4 linked regions of the Saccharomyces cerevisiae S288C genome follow. Changing the gene in region 4 together with the main gene of any one other region gives a genetic interaction. Each region holds a gene or a part of one and is shown on either strand. Other genes may lie near its edges.

Region 1 (3,415 bases), on a different chromosome or scaffold from region 4:
ATATTTCAAATCGATCCCTCGAACGAAACCATCCAGATCGTGCAATCTGATACATGTCCCTCCGTAGATGAACTGTACATTGACTTGCCCGGGCCAAGTTACACGATTTTCAGGCAGGGTGATTCAAGTTTCTTTATCTACTCTTGTCCCTCTGGCAGCAAAGTCAAAGATAGAATGATATATGCTTCTAACAAGAATGGATTTATCAACTACTTGAAAAATGATCAAAAAATCGCATTTAGTAAAGTGGTAGAAATTGGCGATTTTGTGGAACTAGACAAGTCCTTACTTATGGCAACAAATAAAGAAGATAGCCTCGATCATGGATCCAATCCAGATCTCCCAAACAAAAGCAATTTGAAATTCAACAAACCAAAGGGCCCATTGAGGAAAAGAAGAACATAGAGATAGAAATGGCATCTATATATGTGTGACCAACAATACATACGTTTTTATTCTTCTAAATATGAAACTGAATGTTTTTCTAGGTTTGCTGGAATATATATTACACTGGCAAAAATTGTTATGCTATGCTATTTAATGTTCATTGTTTTTGCAGCTTGATAACCTCTCTTAAGGCGCCAAATGGATTTTTTTGGAAATCTTGATTGGTTAGGACCTGATTGAATCTTGCAGTTTCGTTAGCAGCCAATGCCTTTGCACCCTTTTGGTTCCTGATATTTGGCTGATTCTTTTTTATCCTAACAGAACCAGGTTCTATCTTTTTCAAGTTCATTTCCTTTGTGTCCACAAACCTTATTTTAGAATCCATGTCGATGTCATCATCGTTATTCATGTCTTTGCTACTATTTTCAATAATGCCCCGTAAATCCTTTTCTTGCTCCAAAGAAGTGAGCAGATCTTGCATTCTTGGTTTTAGTTCTTCTCTTAGCTTTCTTTTCCTACGTCTAATGGAAGATTTAGAAATACCATCAAAATTGGCAGCTATGCCATCGTTAAGTGTGGATTTCCCCTTCAAGTTAGATAAGAAAGTATTCTGTCTGTTAAGTAGCTTTTCCTTTTTAGTTTCTTTAGGTTGGTGCAGAAAGGCCCTTGGATCAGATTCTATGTCATAACTCTCGTCCAGAATGCCATTGTTCGCTACGTCTGGTCCAAAATTTTGACTATTTCTTGCACTTACTTTGCTTCTAAGCGTGTTTCTCTTCTTAGCAACCATTATCGCTTATCTATGCTTCTATATTCAATGGATTTCCTGTCTCTTATCTCTGCTCATCGAGTCTGTAATGCTTGAGTATGTAAAACATGAAAAATTTGCAGTGCGTCACCCCGTTCAGTTTCTCGCGCCGAATAACATTTTTTATACAGGAATATTTCACCTTGATAATGGCCGACATTTACGTTATTTACCTATTGTCCCTTCGCCTAGACCTACAAGAAACATTGCCTCAAGTGCCACCTTCATAAAGTTTATTTTCTATTATGTCCCAGTCGAACCCTATCTTACGTGGCCTCGCTATTACAACAGCCATAGCAGCTCTATCAGCCACCGGTTATGCTATCTACTTTGACTATCAAAGAAGAAATAGCCCGCAATTCAGGAAAGTGTTGAGACAAAGGGCCAAAGAGCAGGCCAAGATGGAAGAACAAGCTAAAACTCATGCTAAGGAAGTGAAGCTGCAAAAGGTTACCGAATTCTTATCCATGGAATTAGCCAAGGACCCCATCCCTAGTGATCCCTCCGAAAGAGAAGCTACATTTACCACCAACGTAGAAAATGGTGAAAGATTATCCATGCAACAAGGTAAGGAACTGGAAGCAGCCTCTAAGTTTTATAAAGCATTGACTGTATACCCTCAGCCAGCCGATTTATTGGGAATTTACCAAAGATCCATTCCTGAAGCCATTTACGAATATATTATATTAATGATTGCCATCTTGCCTCCTGCTAATGTGGCTTCTTTCGTTAAAGGAGTTGTTGGAAGCAAGGCCGAATCTGATGCGGTTGCTGAAGCTAACGATATCGATGACTGAGAGTAACATTTTGCTTGCTTTTTTTCTCCGTTTTTGTTTCTTTTACTCTGTATATAGCCCTATATAATTACATCATTTCTCTAGCCTAAATCTTGTTATATATACCAAGCTTTTTGGAAAGCTAAGGATAAAAACAATTCTTTTCATTAGATGTATTTTTTCATCGTATTAGGTGTAATATATATATATATGTATATATATATATATATATAATATATATGTAGTATACACACGTGGACGACCATTAACGAATGTTGTATATGCTTATGCGGAACCTTTGTACTCTCTTAAAATAACAGGGACAGATGAAGGTGGCAAAGCGCCGAATTCAGTGATCACTTTTTTAATATATTCTGGTGGTGTTAAATCGTATAAGATGTTGACAATATTTAACGAAGGTAACTCTTGCCAACCATCCAAAATATTTTTGCTGTTGCTGTCTTCTTCATTACTGGCGTCCTTGCTTTCTCCTTCAGATCCTTTCTTACCGCCAATTTTATTACCCTTTGGCTTATTCTCCATTGCTAGCTTTTTCTTTTCAAATTTTCTTTCTTTGATAAATTGGTTTAATAACGCACCTTTATTACCGCGTCTCTCGACTGGATTTTCGTAATCTATATTAACCAGGTCATTTGGATCTGCCAGTTCATTAAATGTGACACTATCCAATTGTACTCTTTGTGAAAACTTCAAACTTTCGCAGCAGACTAATACAGGTATATTTCTTCTCTTAGCGCTCATAGCCAACATTGCTGTCCCAGCTCTTGAATATAGGAACCCATTAGATAGGATAGAATGGGCTCCTAAAAACACATAGTCCACATCCATATTGAATATCGTATCCAAACTTGTAATAAGTGCATACATAACATTGACACCAGCATTTCTTAAAGTTTCTGCCATTTTCCGCCCTTCAAATAGTGGTCTCGAATCGACGACAATCACTTTGATGTTTTTCTTTAAACTGATTGCATTATGCAGTAACAGTTCAGTTAGAACCTTTGATGAACCATATGTCACAATAGTAGTAGATTCTTCAATTTGTGTAGAGGCATTGTCTATAATTAGTTGATCAGCCAGTTCGATTTTTTCTTTAGCAAACTGCCCAATTTTCTCACAAAGGTCTTTTTTGGCGGCTTTGTCGGGGGTAGATGGGTCAATTAATGAAATTTCTTGCTTTAACCATCTGATAGCATTACCCATAGTAACACTTAAAGGTCTAGCTTTTTTCAAAAGATCAATCTGGTGTGACAAATAACTTGTTAAGTTACGTGACAAGGTAGTTCCCTTAGGTGTTTGATAGTCTTTGATAACAATTTGGAAAACCTCTAGCATGGCTATGCAACGTGGGATGGATCCCACGATTTTATAGTGTGCTAGATGAGAAGTTAATAATAATATCGACGGATGGATAAGGTCTTTA
Region 2 (3,398 bases), on a different chromosome or scaffold from region 4:
TTTAGTGCCGTGGGGTCTTTACAACCCCATATAAAGCCTAGAGATTTTGTGTTACCACAGCAAATAATCGACAGAACTAAAGGCATAAGACATTCTTCATATTTCAACGATGAAGGCTTGGTAGGTCACGTTGGTTTCGGACAGCCGTTCTCTCAAAAATTCGCAGAGTATATCTATCAATTCAAGAACGAGATAACAAATCCTGAATCCGAAGAACCGTGCCATTTGCATTACGACAAGGATATGACCGTTGTGTGTATGGAAGGCCCACAATTCTCCACGCGCGCTGAATCCAAGATGTACAGAATGTTTGGTGGCCATGTTATTAACATGAGTGTTATTCCAGAAGCCAAATTGGCGCGTGAGTGTGAGCTGCCTTACCAGATGATTTGTATGTCTACCGATTACGACGCATGGAGAGATGAGGCAGAACCTGTTACCGTAGAAACCGTTATTGGTAATTTGACGAATAATGGGCGCAATGCAAATATTTTAGCTTCTAAGATCATCGTCTCAATGGCCAAGGAAATCCCAGAGTTCATGCATACTGGCGATGGGCTGCGCGGTTCCATCAAGAAATCTATCTCTACCAAACCAGAGGCTATGTCCAAGGAAACCTTAGAAAGACTAAGATACTTATTTCCAAACTATTGGTAATGGTTGCCGCTAATCATATGTAAAATATAAATAGGAGAGAAAACATATATAGCTATGGAAAGTATTAAATGTTTTTTTGCTGTTTTTATATTTTCCCCCTTGGGGACTGTGAGTTCATCATATATGCATATTTGCTACTTGGAATGTAGCCCTTCCTAGTTACAGGGGTATGCGGCGAGTTATTGTCATTGTTAGCGCTCACTAATGTGCTACTGATACCGCTATGCCTCTGCAGTGTGCCAAATACATTCTTTGTGTGTAAGGATTGAGATTGTAGTTTCGTCTGTTCCTCCGCCATTTCCCTTTGTCTTGCTTTCAAAGGCGTCTCTAAGCCTTTGAAGAGATATGCTGGATGATTTTTGAGATTTGTTTGAGGAATATGTGTTTTGTTCTGTGCCATTTGGCTGATCTTAGAAGTGGATACGTAGTGGGGGTGTTGTGGCTGCAACCCAGTATCGACAGATGATTGCATGTCTACCCCCAGGAGCTTCTTTTGCCTGTCAGTGAGATTCAAATCACTTACTTTGACGGTGGATAAGAGCTTCCAAAGAGAAAACAGTATATTGAGCGAGATTAATAGGTGGAACAAGTAGTCAAGAAGTTCTGCATTCAACCAACTGAACGTGGTGTGATATATGATGTTAGCCTTCTTTAACGTGTGAAATGTCAACATGTACAGATGGATTCTGGATAGCCGGTTGCAAAACTGTCTCCCAACATGAGTGTTGTTCCAAAAGAACTTGATGAACTTCACCAGCAGGTTCCAGAACGCAAACGCAATTACGTTTGTCATAATTCTCTGCGTCTCCATTTCCTTGTTTACCGTTCGCCGTGATAGCTCCTTGAGCACAGGACTTTCAAAGTTGCCCAATTTAAACATTGGTGTGTCATTTTGTGATTGTGATGAGGGTTTGCTGTCTGTGTCCGGCAATGGTCCCGGCACGTCATTATCGTCCAGGCCCAATTGGCCCGCCTGAATCTTCATAGTTCCCTCTATTATTTTTTTGCCTCTGCGGATATATTAAAAGTCTGTATATTGTCAAGTTCTTATAATATAAATCTTTTTGTTCATCATAACCATCTTATTAATTGTTATTATTTCTATCATTATTACTATTAGCACAAATTTCATTTTTTTTTTTTTTCATTTTTCTTTAGACTTTAGCCCTAATTAGACCTGAGAAATATTATTATAACCTGAGAAAGGTTTATAAAAAGAACATTATAACCTACAAAAAAGATACTTAAACCCTGAAGTTAATAGGTTTGGACCCTCTTTTTTTTTTTTTGCTTTTTTTTAGAAAACCTCAGTATTCACAGTCTAAGGAACAGATAAAGAGAAGCTTTATGAAAGCAGTCCACAGTGCCACGAACTTTGACATATATAATTGACTTGTGGGGGCTACCGACTGGCTTATATTTCTAAAATTTAGAGATTTGATTATCTTTTTCGCAGCGCGTAAAAGAAACCCACGAAGCATCGCTTAATTTACACATATTCTTCGTTCTCCCCTTTTGGAGAGGATTTAAGCTAAGATATATCTTTCTTCGAGCGCAGTGCTGCTTTTGAGTTCTTTCGTTTTAATTTTCCACTTATTTGGCAATAAAAACTGAGTGAAGAGTGCTTCTCTGTCTGTTTTAGGGAGCTTTTTCAGATCATCATCAGATGGGATTTATAGCAAATATACTGTGCTGTTCTTCAGATACTTCCAAAACACATCGTCAACGCCAACCACCAGAAACTAATCACAACCGCAACCGCAACCGTAAGCACAGTTCAAACAAAGCTCAAACTCAGGGTCGTAAGCAGAAGGCTACTCCAAACGGCGACAAGATGCAATATTCCACACCGGAGATCCTTTTGTCTAGTTCCGATTCAGGCAGCAATGCGGGTTCCAAGACAATGCAGGAGAATGGGAATAGCGGCAATGGAAAACTAGCACCTTTATCAAGAGATCACTCCAACAACTCGTACGATGAGGAGAAAGAATATGAAGATTATAATGAAGGAGACGTAGAAATGACGGAGGTTAACAATGCCGGAGAAGAAGAAGAAGAAGATGACGAAGCAAAAGAAAAGCAAGACCATGTCGTTCATGAATATAACGTTGACGCAGATAGAAATTCCAGTATTAATGACGAGGCGCCACCACAACAGGGTCTGTATCAGGTGGGTCAAGAAGATATGAATCCACAATATGTCGCCAGCAGTCCTGATAATGATTTAAACTTGATACCTACAACGGAGGAGGACTTCTCTGACCTGACGCATTTGCAACCAGACCAGTACCATGCCCCCGGATACGACACTCTGCTACCACCCAAGTTGCAAGAATTTCAACAGAAAAAATGTCTGATATTGGATCTAGACGAAACTTTGGTACATTCTTCCTTTAAATATATGCATTCAGCTGATTTCGTTTTGCCCGTCGAAATCGATGATCAAGTTCACAATGTCTATGTTATTAAGAGGCCAGGCGTCGATGAGTTCTTGAACAGGGTGAGTCAACTATACGAAGTTGTTGTGTTCACGGCAAGTGTTTCGAGGTATGCAAACCCCCTTTTAGATACGTTGGACCCTAATGGAACCATCCATCATCGATTATTCAGAGAAGCTTGTTATAACTACGAAGGTAACTACATCAAGAACTTATCGCAGATCGGAAGACCATTGTCCGAAACAATCATCTTAGATAATTCGCCGGCCTCTTACATCTTTCATCCGCAACATGCTGTTCCGA
Region 3 (4,377 bases), 550 kb from region 4:
AGCCAGGATTTCCAAGAACGTAAACTTTACTCCGTGGTCTCTGAGGGTCTTTCTGATTAGATCGCGGCCTTGCGGGTCGACATGGGTGTCCGCAGTTCCGAAGATCAAAACCATTTCTTGGTTATTACCCAACTCCTTCGAAACACGTTCCAAAGAGTTATCGTTCTGGCCAAGACCTAAGGTTCTGGAATGGATGTCGGTAGGGAAGAAGCAGGTTGCGCAGGTAACCCTTTTGTCCAGGAGCGCTCTAAAAGCCAAATGGCCACCTAAACACATTCCTGTGGAACCAATTCTCTTACCATCGAATTGGGGTAACTGGAAAAGTAGATCGCAACACAGTTTGTTGTCCTCATCGTATGATTCTAACGGCTTCTTGATCTTGTACTCGTTACCAATATCGGTACCCTGCACGTCATAGGGCAACGCTTCAGGGCCCATAAAGTTGTGGTATATGGCAGGTGCCACCACAACGTAACCTTCAGACGCAATTCTTTGACCAAAACGACGAACCGGACCCGTCACTTGGTAAATTTCACTGTACAGAATCACCCCAGGAAACTTAGCTTGTGGATAGCCTGCAATCTTAGGAGAATATACGTATATACGCAGAGTGGTGCCGTATGATGTCTGCACATCATGAAAGGTCTCAGTAATCAACATTGTTTGCTTTATCTACTACCACGAGTTTATTACGGCGTCATTTTCAGTCTGACCCTTCTTTTATATAGTTTCTCCTAGTGAGGTTTTTCCGATAAAATTTCTTCCTGATCTTCACAAAGCATCCAGCAAAGTAGGAAAAAAGCTGAAAACCCGACGAAGGGTACTTGTTGAAAGCCATTGAGGTATTGATGGTTGGTGGTAGTATGCTATCTGAAGATAGGCCACATGATTTAGGTAAAGGAGCTGGCCATCGCTAACTGACTAGTCGTATTCTTCCACATCATGGCAACTTCCTTAATGTATTACCCGAATAACCGCCGAAGCCTCAGGCATTAGAGAAGAAAGAAAAGAACAAAAAGTTATACTACAAAAGGCTCTACACTCCCAGCAGAAAGCTGCCAACTACCGTCAGAATGTCAACTATGTCAACGCCTGCCGCAGAACAACGCAAACTCGTCGAACAGCTGATGGGCAGGGACTTCAGTTTCCGCCACAACAGGTATTCGCATCAAAAAAGAGACCTCGGACTACACGATCCCAAGATCTGCAAGTCATACCTTGTTGGCGAGTGCCCCTACGACCTGTTTCAGGGCACCAAGCAGAGCCTGGGAAAATGCCCGCAGATGCATCTTACCAAGCATAAAATTCAGTACGAGAGAGAGGTCAAGCAGGGCAAAACGTTTCCCGAATTCGAAAGAGAATATCTGGCCATTCTATCTCGGTTTGTTAATGAGTGTAATGGCCAGATATCCGTAGCACTACAAAATCTAAAACACACCGCTGAGGAACGAATGAAGATTCAGCAGGTTACCGAAGAACTAGATGTCTTGGACGTGCGGATAGGCCTAATGGGACAAGAGATTGATTCTTTAATTCGTGCAGATGAAGTCAGTATGGGTATGCTACAGTCAGTCAAATTACAAGAACTGATTAGTAAAAGGAAAGAAGTTGCAAAACGTGTACGAAACATTACAGAAAACGTGGGCCAGAGCGCCCAGCAAAAGTTACAGGTTTGCGAGGTGTGTGGGGCATACCTATCGCGTTTAGATACAGACAGAAGGCTTGCTGACCACTTCTTGGGGAAGATTCATCTGGGATATGTCAAGATGAGAGAGGATTATGATCGGCTAATGAAGAATAACCGGACAACTAACGCCAGCAAGACAGCTACTACACTACCCGGAAGACGCTTTGTGTAGGGCCATACATAAAAAAATGATGCTAGAAAAATTTTGTTCGAAGGAGAGTACTTATGAAAGAAGAAAGGTTTGTGAATATCACACACATACCTCTGCATAGTTTATTTCCCGATAAGGTAGACATATCGTTTCCCTATCTATTTAAGTTTTTTATTCGCTCTCTTTTTTTTTTTTTCTCTGTAACCTGAAAACAAGGAACGGCAAATTAAAATGTTTGGAATACGTTCAGGCAATAATAACGGTGGATTTACTAACCTCACGTCGCAAGCACCACAGACAACCCAGATGTTTCAATCGCAATCACAGTTGCAGCCACAACCGCAACCGCAACCACAACAACAGCAGCAACACTTGCAATTCAATGGATCATCCGATGCAAGTTCTTTACGATTTGGAAACTCACTTTCCAATACTGTAAACGCCAATAACTATAGTAGTAATATCGGTAACAATAGCATCAACAACAACAACATTAAAAACGGCACAAATAACATAAGCCAACATGGCCAAGGGAATAATCCTAGCTGGGTGAATAATCCTAAAAAGAGATTCACTCCTCATACGGTGATAAGAAGGAAGACAACAAAGCAAAATTCTTCTTCTGACATCAACCAGAATGATGATTCATCTTCTATGAACGCTACTATGAGAAATTTCAGTAAGCAAAATCAAGATTCCAAGCATAATGAAAGAAATAAGTCTGCGGCAAATAATGACATCAATTCTCTGTTGTCAAATTTTAACGATATTCCACCCTCCGTTACTTTACAGGATTGGCAACGCGAGGATGAATTCGGTTCTATTCCATCATTAACAACTCAGTTTGTTACCGACAAATACACGGCGAAGAAAACAAATAGGTCAGCTTATGATTCCAAAAATACTCCAAATGTTTTTGATAAAGACTCTTATGTTAGAATAGCAAACATTGAACAGAACCATTTAGATAATAATTACAACACCGCCGAAACAAACAATAAAGTCCATGAAACATCTTCCAAGTCTTCTAGTTTGAGCGCAATTATCGTATTTGGCTATCCTGAATCAATTTCCAATGAATTGATTGAACACTTCTCCCATTTCGGTCATATTATGGAAGACTTTCAAGTATTGCGATTGGGTCGCGGGATTAACCCCAACACCTTCAGAATATTCCATAATCATGATACAGGCTGTGATGAAAACGATTCTACTGTTAATAAATCTATTACTTTAAAAGGCAGAAATAATGAGTCGAATAACAAAAAATATCCAATATTTACTGGTGAAAGTTGGGTCAAACTCACTTATAATTCTCCATCTTCTGCTTTGAGAGCACTGCAGGAAAATGGAACCATATTTCGCGGTTCTTTGATTGGTTGCATCCCATATTCAAAAAATGCGGTGGAGCAATTAGCTGGCTGCAAAATTGATAATGTCGACGACATTGGAGAATTCAACGTTTCTATGTATCAAAATTCCTCCACATCGTCGACATCTAATACACCATCCCCACCAAACGTAATAATAACTGATGGCACTCTTCTGAGGGAAGACGATAATACTCCTGCCGGTCATGCTGGTAATCCAACAAATATTTCAAGTCCAATAGTAGCAAATTCTCCGAATAAGCGGCTGGATGTAATAGATGGCAAATTGCCATTCATGCAAAATGCAGGACCGAATTCGAATATTCCTAATCTGTTGCGAAACCTAGAATCGAAAATGCGTCAGCAAGAAGCGAAATACAGAAATAATGAACCTGCTGGTTTTACGCACAAACTGAGTAATTGGTTATTTGGTTGGAATGACCTATAACAGAAATCGTCCAGCTAATTATTCATGAACATTTACAATACTTCATACATTTATTATTTTGATAACTTTTCAAACAGCATTGTTTTACTTTTGTTTATTGATTTTTACGTAACTGTATATACTTAGACATAATTAAGAAACGTTATCTTTTGTGATAGTTCTTCTTTTTCTTTGGAGAGCGAAGAATGGAATTAATATCATTCTTATTCAATACATTGAACTCTGAGCCTTCAAACCTTTTCTGTCGTGCGCTTAAAGGCGTTTTTCTCAATGGGCTCAGGGATTTCGATGGTCTATTTTGGTCTTGATTCGGCAGGTAAGCTCCGCCCTTCTCTAAATTTTCATTTGACGATGATTGAGCCAAATTGTTATCCAAAACTTTATCCCTATAATATGGGGACATTCTAGGAGAATAATGAAAACCAATGGGATGACTTTGATGGTCAGATACTTGAGAAATGCCTCCATAATCCTTTATTCTGGTTTCACGGGATCCTGGCACACTTTCTGTCATTTTCGGTAATGCCTCAAATTCCCTTTTTTCATAATTATAAACCTCTCTGATTTCTTCGCCACATAGGGAGTGAGTGGTGAATATTCTCGGTGTTTTAGATCTAGTACCCATTGCAGATGATAGAGTATCTATATTGCTGCATTGGTTAATTCGTGCCATTATATGCTTGTCCTCATATTCTTGCAAAGCTGCACTTGATAAAATCAA
Region 4 (4,124 bases):
AGTTTGCCAATAGTATATTTGCTGCTGTGGAGCATATAAAGAAACAAATAAAGGAAAGAGATTCTAATTACAAAGCCATTATTTTTGCACCAACTGTTAAATTCACATCCTTTTTGTGCAGTATTTTAAAGAATGAATTTAAGAAAGATTTACCAATTTTGGAATTTCATGGTAAAATTACTCAAAATAAAAGAACAAGTTTAGTTAAAAGATTCAAAAAAGATGAATCCGGTATTTTGGTTTGTACGGATGTGGGAGCCCGTGGTATGGATTTCCCAAACGTCCACGAAGTTTTGCAAATTGGTGTTCCATCTGAGTTGGCTAATTATATTCATAGAATTGGTAGAACAGCCAGAAGTGGGAAAGAAGGATCTTCTGTGCTATTCATTTGTAAAGATGAATTGCCATTTGTTAGAGAGTTGGAAGATGCAAAAAATATAGTCATTGCCAAACAAGAAAAATATGAGCCCAGTGAAGAAATAAAATCTGAGGTCCTAGAGGCAGTGACCGAAGAACCGGAAGACATATCAGATATTGTAATAAGTTTAATCTCATCCTACAGATCCTGTATCAAGGAATACAGGTTTTCTGAAAGGCGCATACTTCCTGAAATTGCTTCCACTTATGGTGTACTGTTAAATGATCCTCAATTAAAGATTCCAGTATCCAGAAGGTTTTTAGATAAATTAGGTTTGAGCCGTAGTCCAATTGGTAAGGCAATGTTTGAAATTAGAGACTATAGTAGTAGAGATGGAAATAACAAGTCCTACGATTATGATGATGATTCAGAAATTTCTTTCAGAGGCAACAAAAACTATAATAATAGGAGCCAAAATAGAGATTACGATGACGAACCGTTTAGACGCAGCAACAACAATAGACGCTCATTCTCCCGTAGTAATGATAAAAATAATTACTCCAGTAGAAACAGCAACATATATTAGAAAAGATAAAAAAGGAGGACCAAGAGATGTGGGTTGTATTTTAAATAACAATTCCTCTATTAAGACGCCTGTATTTTAGACCCCATCTTGATTCAATACTTTCACGTGTAAATACCTAGTATATAAATATTAAACAAAAATTTTTTTTCTTCTCCTATTCTCTTAAAATGATAACTATACGAAGATCCTACTGGTATATTTATTCGTCAATGCTTATTTACGACCGGTACCTCCATTCTTACTTTCGCTCTTCCTCCTCTCAAAGGAAAAGTAATTCTAACATTGTAATTCTTATTTAAACGGATGGAAGAAAGCTTTTGAGAATTTACTTGAAAAGTCAGGGTGTCTTAGGCGATTGATCACGGACATAGCCATATTACGAAAACTTCATTCTGAATATTGCCAACGAGACAATCGTGGGCTTGGTAATCGTTGAAAAATTTTCACATATTTTATGAACAGCTGAGCCTATTAACAATGAAAATAGTCTATACGATAGTCCAGAACTGAATAACAGTGTCAATCACTTTTTTTTTTATGATTAAATCCTAGTTAAAGTGCCGCTCTGCGAAAGAAAAATCAATAAATACCATTTGTTAGTGATCTAGCAATAATATCAATGACATCTTGTCTTATCTTAAAAATAAACAAAAAATTCTTTACAGTGTACTGAGCATTAATCTGGCTACGGCCTGGAGGGAAATTATGTCTTATACGAATTTTGCTCCGGCAATTCTATTTACGCTGTTTAGCTTATCATGCGATTTCAACCTTCTTTATATAGTAAATTAGCTTCGAAATAAAAGTATTCGCGAGAGGACAAGACATGAAACCTAAACCACGACGCTGAAGGTAACGACATCATAATACGTTTCAAAGGGCTAACCTTAATATACTGACATCTAGAAATATATTAATTCTGCATATCAAGAAACACGCCGACTGAGGGTGCAAGGTATTTGAAAAAAAATAGTGAATCAATAGATGAGCGCACAATGTTTAAAGTACTATAACACTGAACTGTTGTACTTTAACGCAAAAGCTCATCAAGCTATCATTAAATTTCGACCCGAGCAACGACTCAACTGTAATGTCAGCTTTCGGTAACCCATTCACGTCGGGTGCTAAGCCTAATCTTTCTAATACAAGTGGTATCAACCCTTTCACAAATAATGCTGCTAGTACCAATAACATGGGAGGAAGTGCATTTGGAAGACCTAGTTTTGGAACAGCAAACACAATGACAGGAGGAACCACCACTTCAGCATTTGGAATGCCCCAGTTTGGTACCAATACAGGCAATACTGGCAATACGTCAATTAGCGCTTTTGGGAACACCAGTAATGCGGCTAAACCGTCAGCATTTGGAGCACCAGCATTTGGTTCTAGCGCCCCCATCAATGTTAATCCGCCTTCTACTACGTCAGCATTTGGAGCACCGTCATTTGGATCAACAGGTTTTGGTGCTATGGCGGCGACAAGTAATCCTTTTGGTAAAAGTCCTGGCTCAATGGGCTCTGCATTTGGTCAACCAGCTTTTGGAGCGAACAAAACTGCTATCCCTTCTAGTTCGGTTAGTAATAGTAATAACTCCGCATTTGGTGCTGCGTCAAACACGCCCTTGACCACAACTTCTCCTTTTGGTTCACTGCAACAAAACGCATCACAAAATGCATCATCTACATCGTCAGCGTTTGGCAAACCGACTTTCGGCGCAGCTACTAATACCCAGTCGCCATTTGGTACTATTCAAAATACAAGTACAAGCAGTGGGACAGGAGTATCCCCATTTGGCACATTTGGAACTAATAGTAATAACAAATCACCTTTTAGTAATCTACAGAGCGGAGCAGGCGCTGGTTCTTCGCCGTTTGGTACTACAACCTCCAAAGCTAACAACAACAATAACGTGGGCAGTAGCGCATTCGGAACGACGAATAATCAATCTCCTTTTAGCGGAGGTTCTGGGGGCACCTTTGGTTCTGCTTCTAACCTCAATAAAAATACCAATGGCAACTTTCAATCTTCTTTTGGTAATAAAGGGTTTTCATTCGGAATTACACCACAAAACGATGCCAACAAAGTCTCGCAATCGAACCCTTCATTTGGGCAAACAATGCCAAACACAGATCCGAACATAAGTTTGAAGAGCAATGGTAACGCAACCTCTTTTGGATTTGGACAACAACAGATGAATGCTACTAATGTCAACGCTAATACGGCCACCGGAAAAATTAGATTTGTTCAAGGGTTATCTTCTGAAAAGGACGGTATTCTAGAATTGGCCGATCTCGCAGAGGAAACACTGAAAATATTCAGAGCAAACAAGTTTGAACTAGGCCTTGTCCCTGATATACCTCCACCACCTGCATTGGTTGCATAGTAAGGTCAAAGAAAAACATACAAAATGGTAACTTAAACAATATATATGAATATATATATATATCTAATGAAAAATGCATTAATTTTATCTCCAACCTTTTTTGGTAGGACAAATACTTTCTATAATAATGAGGTAACATGCTGACAATCTCCCAGTACAACTAGGTCTACAAATTTCAAAGAGTCTAGCACATTCTTAGGCGGCATACTGGTGTTTAAATATAACACAATACCCCTGTTTGCATGGACTTTGGCCGCAAACTGCCTGCAAATATTTTTCACTCCGGGAATCTTCAAACTCGTTCCAACAATAATCAAACAATCAATTCTTTTCTTTAAGTCATTATTGGCAATTTCACCGATAAAATCACCTTCAGGGTGGACCTCATTGTATAAAATTACTCTTGGACGCAACTTGCCCACACCAGTAGATCTTAAGCCTGCCATTTTTCTAACTGTTTCATATTCTTCACATTGTGGACATGACGGTATGATTTCAGTCCGAGAATCAAATTTGTCGTCGCATTTGAACAGTTCAGGGTCAAAAGGTTTGATATTCAGACATTTATTGCATTCCATGTGTTTTATGCTTCCGTGTAATTGTACTGTACTGGGTATTGGCTTCGCCAGAGGCACATTAGTTGATAAATGAGGTAATTGTGTATCTAAACCGTCAATATTCTGCGTGTACAGTCTCAATAGCCTGCCATCCCTAGCAAACTCATTGAGCATTTCATGAAATTTTGTAGGTTGGCAATTCTTGGATAATCTGAACAATGACACCATTAACTGATTAAA

The links.
Region 1: mutations in NUP42 (region 4) and SLX9 together harm fitness more than expected from each alone (negative genetic interaction), as found in Saccharomyces cerevisiae (3 studies listed by BioGRID).
Region 2: mutations in NUP42 (region 4) and POM34 together harm fitness more than expected from each alone (negative genetic interaction), as found in Saccharomyces cerevisiae (5 studies listed by BioGRID, with this or other methods).
Region 3: mutations in NUP42 (region 4) and ASM4 together harm fitness more than expected from each alone (negative genetic interaction), as found in Saccharomyces cerevisiae (4 studies listed by BioGRID, with this or other methods).

What each region holds. Positions count from the first base shown.
Region 1 is NC_001139.9:642,604-646,018, forward strand, and holds SLX9 (Slx9p), read right to left. Parts: upstream 1,178-3,415; coding exon 545-1,177; downstream 1-544. Other genes in the region: twinfilin TWF1, read left to right, coding at 1-405; TOM complex receptor protein TOM20, read left to right, coding at 1,441-1,992; GCD2 (translation initiation factor eIF2B subunit delta), read right to left, coding at 2,257-3,415. UniProt on the Saccharomyces cerevisiae protein: Involved in ribosome biogenesis. Required for normal pre-rRNA processing in internal transcribed spacer 1 (ITS1). May be involved in the movements of the replication forks.
Region 2 is NC_001144.5:177,965-181,362, forward strand, and holds POM34 (Pom34p), read right to left. Parts: upstream 1,643-3,398; coding exon 743-1,642; downstream 1-742. Other genes in the region: MEU1 (S-methyl-5-thioadenosine phosphorylase), read left to right, coding at 1-657; PSR2 (putative phosphatase), read left to right, coding at 2,324-3,398. UniProt on the Saccharomyces cerevisiae protein: Functions as a component of the nuclear pore complex (NPC).
Region 3 is NC_001136.10:297,696-302,072, reverse strand, and holds ASM4 (FG-nucleoporin ASM4), read left to right. Parts: upstream 1-2,069; coding exon 2,070-3,656; downstream 3,657-4,377. Other genes in the region: YDL086W (carboxymethylenebutenolidase), read right to left, coding at 1-660; LUC7 (Luc7p), read left to right, coding at 1,074-1,859; NUR1 (Nur1p), read right to left, coding at 3,799-4,377. UniProt on the Saccharomyces cerevisiae protein: Functions as a component of the nuclear pore complex (NPC).
Region 4 is NC_001136.10:842,772-846,895, reverse strand, and holds NUP42 (FG-nucleoporin NUP42), read left to right. Parts: upstream 1-2,034; coding exon 2,035-3,327; downstream 3,328-4,124. Other genes in the region: MSS116 (ATP-dependent RNA helicase), read left to right, coding at 1-944; NAD-dependent histone deacetylase HST4, read right to left, coding at 3,447-4,124. UniProt on the Saccharomyces cerevisiae protein: Functions as a component of the nuclear pore complex (NPC).